Linked DNA regions of Pelodiscus sinensis. The protein of the gene in region 1 binds, or shares a complex with, the protein of each later gene. Links are inferred from orthologs where the notes say so. Each region holds a gene or a part of one and is shown on either strand. Other genes may lie near its edges. The genes, in order: CWC22, PPIL2 and CRNKL1.

Region 1 (3,747 bases):
TCCCTGGTCTGCTGAGGGGGGTCCAGCAAAGCCGCTGGACCCCCCCAGCAGACCAGGGACACCCGAGCAAAGCCACCGCCTGGGCGGCTTTGCTCGTTTGCCCGGGAGCAAAGCCGCCCAGGCAGCAGGACTCCTGCCACCTGGGCGGCTTTGCTCCTGTCCCCTTGGTCTGCTGGGGGGGGGGGTCCAGTGGCTTTGCTGGACCCCCCCCCAGCAGACCAGGGAGACAGGAGCAAAGCCACACGGGCAGCGGGGTCCCTTCGCCTGTGCGGCTTTGCTCGGGTCTCCCTGGTGTGCTGGCAGGGACTCCCCCCAGCACCCCAGGGAGACAGGAGCAAAGCCGCACGGGCAGCGGGGTCCCTCCGCCTGTGCGGCTTTGCTCGGGTCTCTCTGGTCTGCTGGGGGGGAGGGAGCGCAGCTAGTGCGCCCACCCCCCCCTCAGCAGACCAGGCTTTTGTTGCGGGACGCCTCGGGTAGAGCAGCTGGGGTGCTGCCGGGTTGGTCCTGTGGGAACCTACCGGGCAGTGCCCCAGCTGTTCTGTCCCAGGCTCCAGATTCAGCAGCTGTTGAAACTGATCAGGCTGATTCCAGGAAGCTGGGGGCAGAGCAACTCTGCCTCGGCTTCCTGTAGTCAGCCCCTGGTCAGTTTCAGTGGCAGCAGCTGAATCTGGAGCCAGTTCCGACCTACATACAAATTCAACTTAAGAACAAACCGATAGTCCCTATCTTGTACGTAACCCGGGGACTGCCTGTATTACAAAAATTGGCACCCAAAATACTAACCCCTCCCCCCAAAATCCACCAGTGGCCTGATAATTTAATTAGGCACTGCCAAATGAAAATAGCCAATTGCAAGCTAAACTATGTTCTGACCCTGTTCTTTGGCAGGGATTGAAAAATGTCACTGTTCTTTGGAGGGTCTCTTGAAGAGACCTTCACCAATTCCTACTGCACATAAACCTTACGGTTGTGACAAACTCCCAAGTGCCTGCCAACAGCCAGCAAGCCCCAAGACCTCTATGATTCCTGTAGCTTTACCTGCCTTCTTATGGCTACACTACTAACACCACAGCTACTGAAAGGTTTTTTTCCTTCGATGTCATTTATCCACCTCTGAGAGGCTGTGTCCAGACTCAGGGGTTTTTTCGAAAAAAGTAGTCTTTTTTCAAAAAAACTTCACCTGCATCTAGACTACAGCCACATTCTTTCGAAATTAAATCAAAAGAACGCAGCTTTTCTTTTGACAGCGGAAAACCTCATTTCACGAGGAAGAACGCCTTTTTTCAAAAGTGCTCTTTCGAAAAAAGGCGTTCTTGAATGCAGACAGGGCTTTTTCGAAAGAGAGCGTCCAGACTGCCTGGGTGCTTTCTTTCGAAAAAGTGGCTTGCTTTTTCGAAAGTACTGCTTGCAGTCTAGATGCTCTTTTTCAAAAGAGGCTTTTTCGAAAGTATCTTTCTAAAAAGCCTCTTTCAAAAGAGGCTTGCAGTCTAGACGTAGCCAGAGAGGGCAGCCACGTCCACGGAAGAACCCCCCCCCCCCCCCCCCAGTCGTGCCTACAGCACGAGGCAACCACGGTGCTCGGGGCACGACACCACGCACAGCTCAGAGCAAGGCAGCTGGACTCGAGGCTTTTTAGCGAAGCCAATTGCGCAGAGGCCGGTGCTGCAGCCGGGGCAGCGCGGACCCAGACACAGACTCGTGAGGAGCCGAGCTAGCAGCTGGTGCGCTACCGCGGGGCTGGTCTCGGCGATGGCAGCGCCCGTGAAGGGGGGCTGGATGGGCGCTTAACCCTGGGACACCAGGGAGAGGTGGGGGGAGGTGGCATCCGCCCCGACCGCTCGTACCAAGGCAGCCCTCGGCAGAGCCGCCCCACGCGAAAAGGGACAGAGAAGGGCACAGCGGCCTGTGCGAGGTTCCTGCGCGGTTGGAACTAACCTCAGGCTCCCGAACGCCGCCATCCTACCGGAAGTAACATAACGTCCGGCGAAATGGGGGTGGGGTTTTACTGCCGGAAGTGGAGTAAAGCCTCGTTAATGGTAATAATTTTGTAACGCGATTTATTCGACGCTTAGCGGAGGTAAAATAACAGAGAAAAAGAAATGAAGAAAATAACTCGCCCTTCTCGCATCCGCCACGGACGCGCTCCCTCCTACGTCAGCAACATGGCGGCCCCGCAGTCTCAAATGGCCTCAACGACAGCTCCCAGCATGCACTACGCTGGCGAGTCTCTGGGCTCCCTCCAGGTCCGGGTCCCAGCGCCGCCCTCGCGGAGGGATTCGCTGCACGGGCTGTGCCTCTGACTCAACCGACGTGGAACCTGCCGCGCTGACCCCGCCACGTGCCGCCCTGGGGTCGGTGGCTCGGCAGGCAGCGGGAGTTCCCAGGCTGACCCATTGGGGTCTGAATGAATACGAGCCCCCCCCCCCCCCCCCAGTGCCCGCAGGGGTATTTTAGGGGCCGGAGGAAGCTCGCGCCTAGGTAAACCTACCGCTGAGTAACTGGGGCGTGGAATTATTAGGGGGACGTGCAGATCGGGGTCTTCAGGGGAAGGGCTGTTGGAAGGCTGAGCGTGTGCAAACTAACTTCAGCCTTAGCGGTGCTGTGGCTGGCTACTGCAGAGCTTGCAGGCGCAGATAAAGCGAGCACCAGTCAGGTCACAGTAGACCAGTGGTACCAATGCCCCCAGAGAGACGTTTGGGGGGTACGTCGACCCAACTGAAATTTGGAGAAAACTGAATTTTTGTTTTGAGTTTTACAGTGCTTTATTATTTTTTTACGCCCCAAAATTTCATCGGCCACCCCGCTACGATTAGCAGCTTCAGGGGGTAGCTGAGTGAGTCTGTACAGAAAAAACAACAACAAATAGTCTGGTAGCACTTTATAGACTAACAAAGCATGTAGATGGTATCATGAGCTTTGTAGCAGATGACCAGAGTTTTGAGTTTAGGATATGCAGAATGTAGAGGTCAATTGCAGAAGAACTCTGTAGGTGTGACTATAAGGGTGGTGAGGCCTGCATTCCCCTCCCTTTTCCTATCTCCCCTTCCCTACTACTGATGAGCCAGAAGCAAGCCTCTAGAAACATATGCCATTGTAGCAAGAACGAATTGTAGGTAAGGGTGGGAACATAAGTCTTGTTTACCTAAATTTACTGATCATGTAAACAAAGGACAAGTAGCACAGCTGAGCCATACTGTAACAAGCAATGAGTAACCCCCAGAAATTTCCAAATTGCCACAAACAAGTTAGACACACAGTATTTAAAGTTTGCACCAAACATAGCAATTTGGACCTTACCGATGGGCTTTGGGTACCGGTGCCTCAGAAGCTGAGACAATCTCCCACTTCATCTGCAGCCGAAATGGGGGTTTCCAGCTAGCAGAAGGGATGTAAGAATGCCATTTTCCCTATCATGTTATTCCTTTAGTTAAGGGGCACAGCTGATAGCTGACAGAAAATAAACTGCTTTGGTTTGACAGATACCTGTGTAGCATGTCTTTGTACTTTGAGAACCCAGTATCCGACCTGAGACTTACTCTTGCCAGTAACACAGGTCCAAAATAAATATGAGAGAAGGGGCGGGGGAGGGGGAGATAAAAAAAGAGGGAGTGGGAGACAGAGGGTGGAGGGAATCAGTATCTGAAGATTGGGTAGTTAAAATGAAACCGATAGAATCAAAGTCAATAGATAGTATCCTTCCTGACATAGGAATCTACACAAGGAGCTGTTTGCACCTTCATTGACTGT
Region 2 (3,747 bases), on another chromosome or scaffold:
GTGTAGTTATCAGTAGTTTACAGTGATGCTATAAGGGCATAATGAGTGTTGTCCTGCAGTGATCAGTTCTAGATCCATTTCAATTCAAAATCTTTGTCACTGCTTTAGATAATGGCTTTGAGATGCGGGAGGGGCAATAACAGTAACAATCCCCCAAAACATGTGGACAGAAGCAGAGCGATGTAACCTGGGGAGCAAAGAGAGCTGGAGCCACCTTACTGTGCTTCCCCTGATGCTGCCAGTATGTGTGGGGATGAGGCAGGGCAAGGGCAGAGCCAGAAAGGGGAGGAATAGATGTGTGGGTTCTCTAGTCCAGGCCCTCCACATCCCCCCCTCATCAGTCACCTCTGCTTAGAGCGTGTCCTTATTAAGTTTGTGAATGATAACACATGGAGAGGGGTTTGCAAGTGGTTTGGGCCACATACTAAATACCAGTCAACAGTATAAAGGCAAAAATGGCAAACCTGTGTTGTAAGCAAGATGCAATAAGTAAAGAATGTGCTGTACTTTGCACTGATTAATCCTCAACTGGAGCACTGGGCAAGAAGCCTGAAACATGACAACAATCACTGGGTCTATAGAAATTGGCTACCTCTGGTATTAGTGTTTAACAATAGGACTGTGTCTACATTGGCATGATTTTGCGCAAAAGCAGTTGCTTTTCCACAAAAACATGCTGCCTGTCTACACTGGCGGGGAGTTCTTGTGCGAGAACACTGACGCGAGAACACTGACGGCTTCTTGCGCAAGAACTATGATGCTCCTGCTCAGGAGTAAGCCCTGTTGTGCAACTGTTCTTGCGCAAGAGGCCAGTGTAGACAGGCCACATGAATTTCTTGTGCAAGAAAGCCCGATAGCTAAAATGGCCATTGGAGCTTTCTTGTGCAAGAGAGTGTCTACACTGGCACGAATGCTCTTGCGCAAAGGCACATGCCACTGTAGACGTAGCCTAGCAGTTTCTTACACTTTATAACTATGTAGCTGCTCCCTGTAGGGTTGCGCTGCATTCGGTAGCAATGTCTTATAAGGGCAGCTGTCTTACAATCAAACCTGTCAGTAATTGCTACCAGGAGCAGCTCTATGCAAAGATGGTGCTACTTCCGGGAGCAATATATTATAGGAGCCGATCCTTACGAGCGTACCAATCAGAAACTGCTACGAGTAGCGGCGTCTCACACGGCCGCGGCTCTTTCCGGAACGGTGCTTGGGGCGCCCGGGTTGTACGGCGTGACTAGTTTAGCGGCGCACGCCGTACTACCGGAAGTCGCTGAGGTGCCCGGAACAGCCGGCTTAGCCCTGGGGGAGCTGGCCTGCCGGAGCTCGCTGGTCCGCCTCACTTCGGGGTCCCCCCTTGGCAGGGGGCGCGTTTCCTGCGCCGGGGAAGAGCCAGAACCGCCGCCATGGGGAAGAGGCAGCACCAGAAGGACAAGATGTGAGGAGGGGGGGGGCTGTTCTGGCGGGGCTCAAGGCGCGCGGACAGTGGCCGGGCCTGGCTCCCCGCGGTCCAGGCCGCTGTCGGGCGTGACAGGCCGTGGGGGTCCGAGCCCGCGCGTGCGGCTGTCTCGCGGGCAGCCCGCTAAGCCGCGCGGAGCGGCGCGTCCTCTGAGCCAGTGGCGGGACCGACCCCTTCCAGGCTCTCCCCCACGAGCGCTGCCCGGGCGGGGCCGGCAGGAGCAGGGTTTAGGCGCCGTTAGTCTAATGAAGGGGTGGAGGGTGGCGCAGGGGCATAAGTGGCAGGTGCGAAGAGGCAGCTGCTCCCCCTGGTTACACGATTACACACTAAGGGGCCTTTCTCCCCCCCCTTCTAACAGAGGCGGGGGGGCGGTGGCAGGCGTGGAAGCCAGTATGTGCAAGGAGCACTAGCTCCTGTTTCCTCCCACCCGCGTATGTAAACGTGTACTCGCTGAAAATTTATGCATTTTAAATAAACACATTTTAACACCTGTAGCTTGAAGATACTTAGAATTTGTCTGTACCGAGATGTCTGGGAAAGTTAATACAGATTAATTGAAGGTGTGAACTTGAAGTGATGCAACTTAAATCTGTGTGTCAACTCAGTTTCTACAAAGGGATTTAAATGGCACTTCAGATTCACATCTTTCACTTAATGTGAATCTTTTTTCTTGTGCCCCTTCCCCCGGCTAGTTCTTTATTCTCCCAGATCCAGAAGAAGCTAGATAGAACCAAGAACTTGTGTTCTGTACGAGAGCTTTTTGTAAGCTCACAGCTTGGTCAGGAGTTGGGGTATCTGTGTTAGGCACTGAAGAAAAGTTTGGCGTGGTAAATATAGAACAAAAGCTATAATAGTGACTTGTGGGTCAACCTTGTTCCTTTGCTTCAAGGCTTAATGCACAGTTTCCAGATGTTGTTATGGAATCATCCGTAGTGACAATAAAGCAAACAAAAGTGTCATCTGTGTTATAACTTGGTCTCTGGCATGATATGGTGGCAACATAGTATGTTTCTCTTTTTTTGTGGTATTGCCCCAAAGCTCTTCGTATTGGGAACATTGAGGTGTGACACCTAATATCAGAGTTGGCTATATTGGGTAAAAGTGTAAAAAAGGTAGCTAAGAATGTTTAATATCTCTTATTAATATAACTTTCAGTTTGAAAAATCATTGGTTTCTGCTAAATATCATTAGTGCAATGTATTAAGCATTAACACTGCTTTACTCTTTAGGTACATAACATGTGCAGAATATACACACTTTTATGGAGGAAAGAAAGCAGGTAAGTTACTGTGTTTTCTTTTTGTTATTTTTCACAATTATTTCTGATTTGTACATATGTTCACACTTCAGTGCTGATGTCTGTTTTTCTCTTCCTTATTCTTCTCTCATTGAAGTTGTGAAAGACCTCTTGGCTAAGTCTCAAGGCCTGCTTGCCATGCTCCCCCTCTTTCTGTTGCCTTTAAACTTGTTGACTGCTCTCTCTTTTATTGTGTCCTATCCTCCTTTCCTTCCTGGTTGAATCCTTTCCTGGATCTTGCTCTGACTTTCCAAACATGCATTCGGTACCTCTTTTTCTGTTTACCCTTTTATTTTGTTGGACTCTTTCAGGGTGCCATCCTTGCCGACTGTGCCTTCTCCCCTGATTATTTCATGTGTTTACATGCAATTACAGATCACTTTTGCATGAATGACTTTTAAATATTCTTCTTCCCTCTGGGCTTATATCCTTTTCTTAGCTTTGCTCTTTCCATTATCCCTGGAAATGTCATCCTGTATAGTTCACTGCCATTTCAATCTCAGTTTGGCTACATCAAAGCAGTTACAGTGGGATCCTGATGCTTGTAACCTGGGTGTTATATTTGATTCCACACTTCTCCCCTTACAGTCAGACTTCGGCTGAGTCTTGTCCTCCACAGAATTTGAAAATCTCACTCATTTCTCTCCCTATAACTGAATTTCTCATTCATGTCCTAGCAACATCTACACTTGTAATCTATTTTCAGGTCTCTAATGTTAACCATGTCCACAAAACCAAAATGCTCTTATTTCCACCACGTCATCCCAAGCTTCTCACTTTATGTCCACCAAACCTAAACTCCGTGACTTTGCCTACAGAGCCCTGTGTTCCATCTCTTTTCCTCATCCCCTCCGGCTCCCTGATGTCAGCGTAAACCTCTTTTGTTTCTTGCATCTCCACCCTTTTTTTAAGATTTAAAATTTCATGCTTGGAATGCCTTCCTCAAACTTACTTTCATGGAACATTTGACCTTTGATGTCTGTGCAAATTTTAAAAA
Region 3 (3,747 bases), on another chromosome or scaffold:
AGAGCTGTAGCGTCTGGGAACCAGCATGAGGAAAACTTGTGTCATCTTCCTCACTGTGCCTCTGCCTCCCCGCAGAGTCTGTGCTGGGCAGAACTAGTTTTTAATAGCATCTGATATAGAGGCAGCAAGGGGGAGTGGGGGAAGCAACTAGTCACTTACATCTGTATTCTGAGATTCTACTGCATAAAACCAGGAGTTTTTACATTTTTTGGAATACAGAGTAAGGCTCCAATCCTGCAAATACTCATATACTAACTTAACTACACGAGTATTCTTATTGACTTCAATATAATTATTCATGCCCATAAGGCTAAGGATATGCGTATCAGTGCGATGTGGGAATTTTTCAATACTTTTTCTTGTTGGAAATGTTGATTTATCAAAACCAAAACGTTTCACGTAAATGTATAATTTTTGATGAAATTTTTGGGGGAAGTTTTTTCAGGTCACGGACAGAATTTCTCATCAGAATCAGTTAAAAAAAAACACACTTGATCAGAAAAGCCAATAATCAGGATAGTCAATTGAACTTGGGTCTTTTACAGTCCAAGTTCCTGCTTTGACTGAGTCAGAGCAGGGACCTGAATCCCAGGTGATTGCCCAAACCACATGGGTATTGACTATTCTCAGATGGGTCTCTCTCAATATAAACTGTTGGAGCTGCTTCACTTCATATAAATTAAATATCCATTGACCCAGAGTGAGAAAGAATGGCTCTTTGACACTGTTCTTTAATTGGTGGTTCATAGACTTTAACCCTGTCACCAGGGCTTTCTGTTTGACCTGCTACAGGACATCAACTGCTCCTTTATACCCTCAGAAACAGTCAATCAAAGCTTCTCCAGACACAGAGGGTCTCATTCCCCTGCCCTTCAGGACTCTAGCCTAGTTTCAGAGGAAAGGCAGGAGGAACTATCCCTACTCACAGGAGAGTTGGGGAGGATGAAGAAAAAGCTCTGCAACTCAGGGTCTCCATTCCCTCTTTCCCTGCCCCCTATAAGTGGGAATGACTCCTTTCTCATCCCTTTAACATCCTACTATGGGAGGGGGAGTAAGAAACCTCTGAGATTGCCTGGAGAGGCAGAGGGATACTACTGCAGCACCCTCCCCTTGGACAGGGGTGTGTGTGGAAAAAGTCCAGTAAGAGCAGAAGGGAGGCTGGAGGCAGGATGGGCTGAGCCCTGGTTCTTAATTAGCAGCCCAATCAGCACACAGCTGTAGCCTATGTGACATCCTTAGGGCCACGCAAATAGTATATATAAAATGTGTAGATGTGGCTCACCTTACATAGAGAAAGAGCTACATATGCTGTCCACAATGGTAAATGGGTTGAAAACCATTGGGCTAGGTACATGGGTGTTGTAGAGAGATGGGGGAGGAAAAATACAGAGTAGAACAGATGGGAATTGGCCAGATGCACTTCAGTTTGTTTTCTACCATCATGCCATCTATATAATTTAGAAACTTTTCCTTATCAGAGCTTAGTTCTATTGTGTTTACATTTCAGTTTATGGTGGAATGCTTTTAATCAAATGCTTATGCAACATAGGGTGATCTGTAATTGATGTACTTTCAATAGCTAGCTTGACCACATGCTTTGCAGTACTTTTCTGGGGAGGGAGGAATAGTGCGAGTACCAATATTTCAGGCTGTAGGAAAGGGAAATTTGATGTCCATGTGACTTTATAACTATGAAATTAAAATTAGATGTTAGAAATCTAACTGCATGTTTTAATAACACTAGTGTTTTTCCTTATTTTGTTTGCAAGATTTTGTTAGATTACTGTTCATGGCATGGCTAATTTTTTGAGACTAACAAATATTCTGTTATATTACTCTGGAAAGGGCGTGAACCTTTGCCAGTAGCAGGCTTGCTACAGAGCAGACACCTGAAAAGCCCTTTGGTGTGGCAAGCTGTGGGCACTGCCTTATTCAGCCCCTTAAAGTAAAATTGACTATCGCTGCTCTCCCGGGGGGTGGTAAAGCACCAACTCAGGCAGAGCAGGGACAGGAACGGCAAGGCTCACAACAGCCCCCATGAAGTGCGGGGGGGCCCCTCATGATTGTGTGGTTCCCCCCCAGTGAAGCTGGTAGCTGGGCTCGGGCTGCTTGTGCCAGGCACTGAGCCAAAGCTGTTGCAGCAGCGCTCGCGCCAGCGACCCCCCCTCCTCACTGCCCCCCCCTCAGCTCCCTCCTGGTCCACTGGGGCATCGCCCTTCTCCCCCCCCCATACCCCCGGCGGCCCCTCCCCCTGGTCACAGGCCCCCAGTTCCCTCCCTGAGACACCCCGGCCCCCGAGAACTCACCCTCGTGCCCTCCCCCAGCACCGCCTCGCCTTTCCCTGCCCCCACCCGTCTCCCTTCGCCCCCCCCCCCAGCCGGGGGGCACCCCCCCTTAGCGCTGGGTCCTGTCCCCCCCGCACCTTCGCCACTTTGGGGATTCGCTGCTTCCCGGCCGCCGTAGACGCCATGTTGCCGCCGCTGCTGTGCACTCCACCTGCCTCCACCCCGCGCTGACCTTTCACCTTTCACCCCGCGCGGCGTCACCCGGGTCGTTGCCACGGTAGCGGCGGCCGCGCGTCTCCCAACGGCTGCGGCGGAGTCGCTGCGTCCCGGGTGAGGCGGCGGCGTCAGTTCTTCATAGCGCTGAGCCGGCGGGGTCCACAGGACGCTGCGTGCCCCTGGTAACCTCCGCGGCGCTCTGGGAGGGCGGGGCAAGGGCGCTCCCGGGCCGGGGCCACAGTGGTGAGCGGGTCCCATCTCCCGTAGCTCCCCTCACCCTTGGGACTACATCGCCCAGCATGCAACGCGCGCTTCCCGCACGGCGCCTACCGCTCCCAGCATGCAGCGCGTTTGAGAGCTCGTCCTAGCGCCTCCTCTGCGCTGCCCCCTGGTGGCCTTCCCGAGAACTGCAGCTCCCCTTGGCCCGGGGCTGGCCGTGGCCAATGCTGCGCCATGAGTTCCAGCAGCGGGGCCAGGCGCAACTGGGGCGGGGCACAGCGGCCAACCTGCTCGCCCCATTGCTCGGTGGGAGGCCACGCCTGTGGGCCTTCTAAAACTCCAGCAGCTCTTACGGTCTTATTTGAGAAAATAAATCCGTAGCTGCATAGTGTAAGAACGGCCACGCTGGGTCAGACTAGAACCAGTGAACTGTATTTTGGGTGAATGTCCACGGCTGGTACTTGATTCAAAAGAAAGTTGTCATGGGATAAGAGGGAAGGTCCTTTCGTGGACTGATAACTGGTTAAAAGACAGGAAACAAAGGGTAGGAATAAATGGTCAGTTTTCGAGTGGAGAGGGGTAACATGTGTGGGTCCCCCAAAGTTCGGTCTTGGGACCCATCCTATTCAACTTATTTATAAATGATCTAGCAGTTCCCAACCTTTTCCAGATCAGGATCCATTTTGACAATTCAGGAAGACTTGATGACCCACGGCAATTCAAAAATGGAGGGAGGAAGGGGGGGGGGGGCAGAGCCACCTGGGGAGATACTTGGCAAACCTTTTAAAATGTAATGGCAACCCATATTTGGGTCACAAGGTATAGGTTGGGAAACCCAGAAAGGGGTAAACAGTGAGGTGGCAAAATTTGCAGATGATACCAAACTGCTCAAGATAGTTAAGACCAAAGCAGACTGTGAAGAGCTTCAAAAAGGTCTCACCAAACTAAGTGATTGGATAACAAAACGGCAAATGAAATGTCATGTTGATAAATGTAAAGTAATGCACATTGGAAAACGTAATCCCAA

Evidence for each region.
Region 2: CWC22 (region 1) and PPIL2 share a complex: the UniProt entries of both Homo sapiens proteins name them as parts of the minor spliceosome. The link is inferred for Pelodiscus sinensis from reciprocal best matches to the Homo sapiens genes CWC22 and PPIL2.
Region 3: CWC22 (region 1) and CRNKL1 share a complex: the UniProt entries of both Homo sapiens proteins name them as parts of the minor spliceosome. The link is inferred for Pelodiscus sinensis from reciprocal best matches to the Homo sapiens genes CWC22 and CRNKL1.

What each region holds. Positions count from the first base shown.
Region 1 is NC_134717.1:47,653,074-47,656,820, forward strand, and holds the start of CWC22 (pre-mRNA-splicing factor CWC22 homolog), read right to left. Parts: upstream 2,186-3,747; 5' UTR 2,118-2,185; intron 2,111-2,117; exon of another isoform or gene 1,936-2,110; intron 1-1,935. UniProt on the Homo sapiens protein: Required for pre-mRNA splicing as component of the spliceosome. As a component of the minor spliceosome, involved in the splicing of U12-type introns in pre-mRNAs. Promotes exon-junction complex (EJC) assembly.
Region 2 is NC_134725.1:17,530,583-17,534,329, reverse strand, and holds the start of PPIL2 (RING-type E3 ubiquitin-protein ligase PPIL2), read left to right. Parts: upstream 1-1,210; 5' UTR 1,211-1,400; coding exon 1,401-1,432; intron 1,433-2,682; coding exon 2,683-2,732; intron 2,733-3,747. UniProt on the Homo sapiens protein: Has a ubiquitin-protein ligase activity acting as an E3 ubiquitin protein ligase or as an ubiquitin-ubiquitin ligase promoting elongation of ubiquitin chains on substrates.
Region 3 is NC_134713.1:194,839,109-194,842,855, forward strand, and holds the start of CRNKL1 (crooked neck-like protein 1), read right to left. Parts: upstream 2,610-3,747; 5' UTR 2,471-2,609; coding exon 2,423-2,470; intron 1-2,422. UniProt on the Homo sapiens protein: Involved in pre-mRNA splicing process. As a component of the minor spliceosome, involved in the splicing of U12-type introns in pre-mRNAs.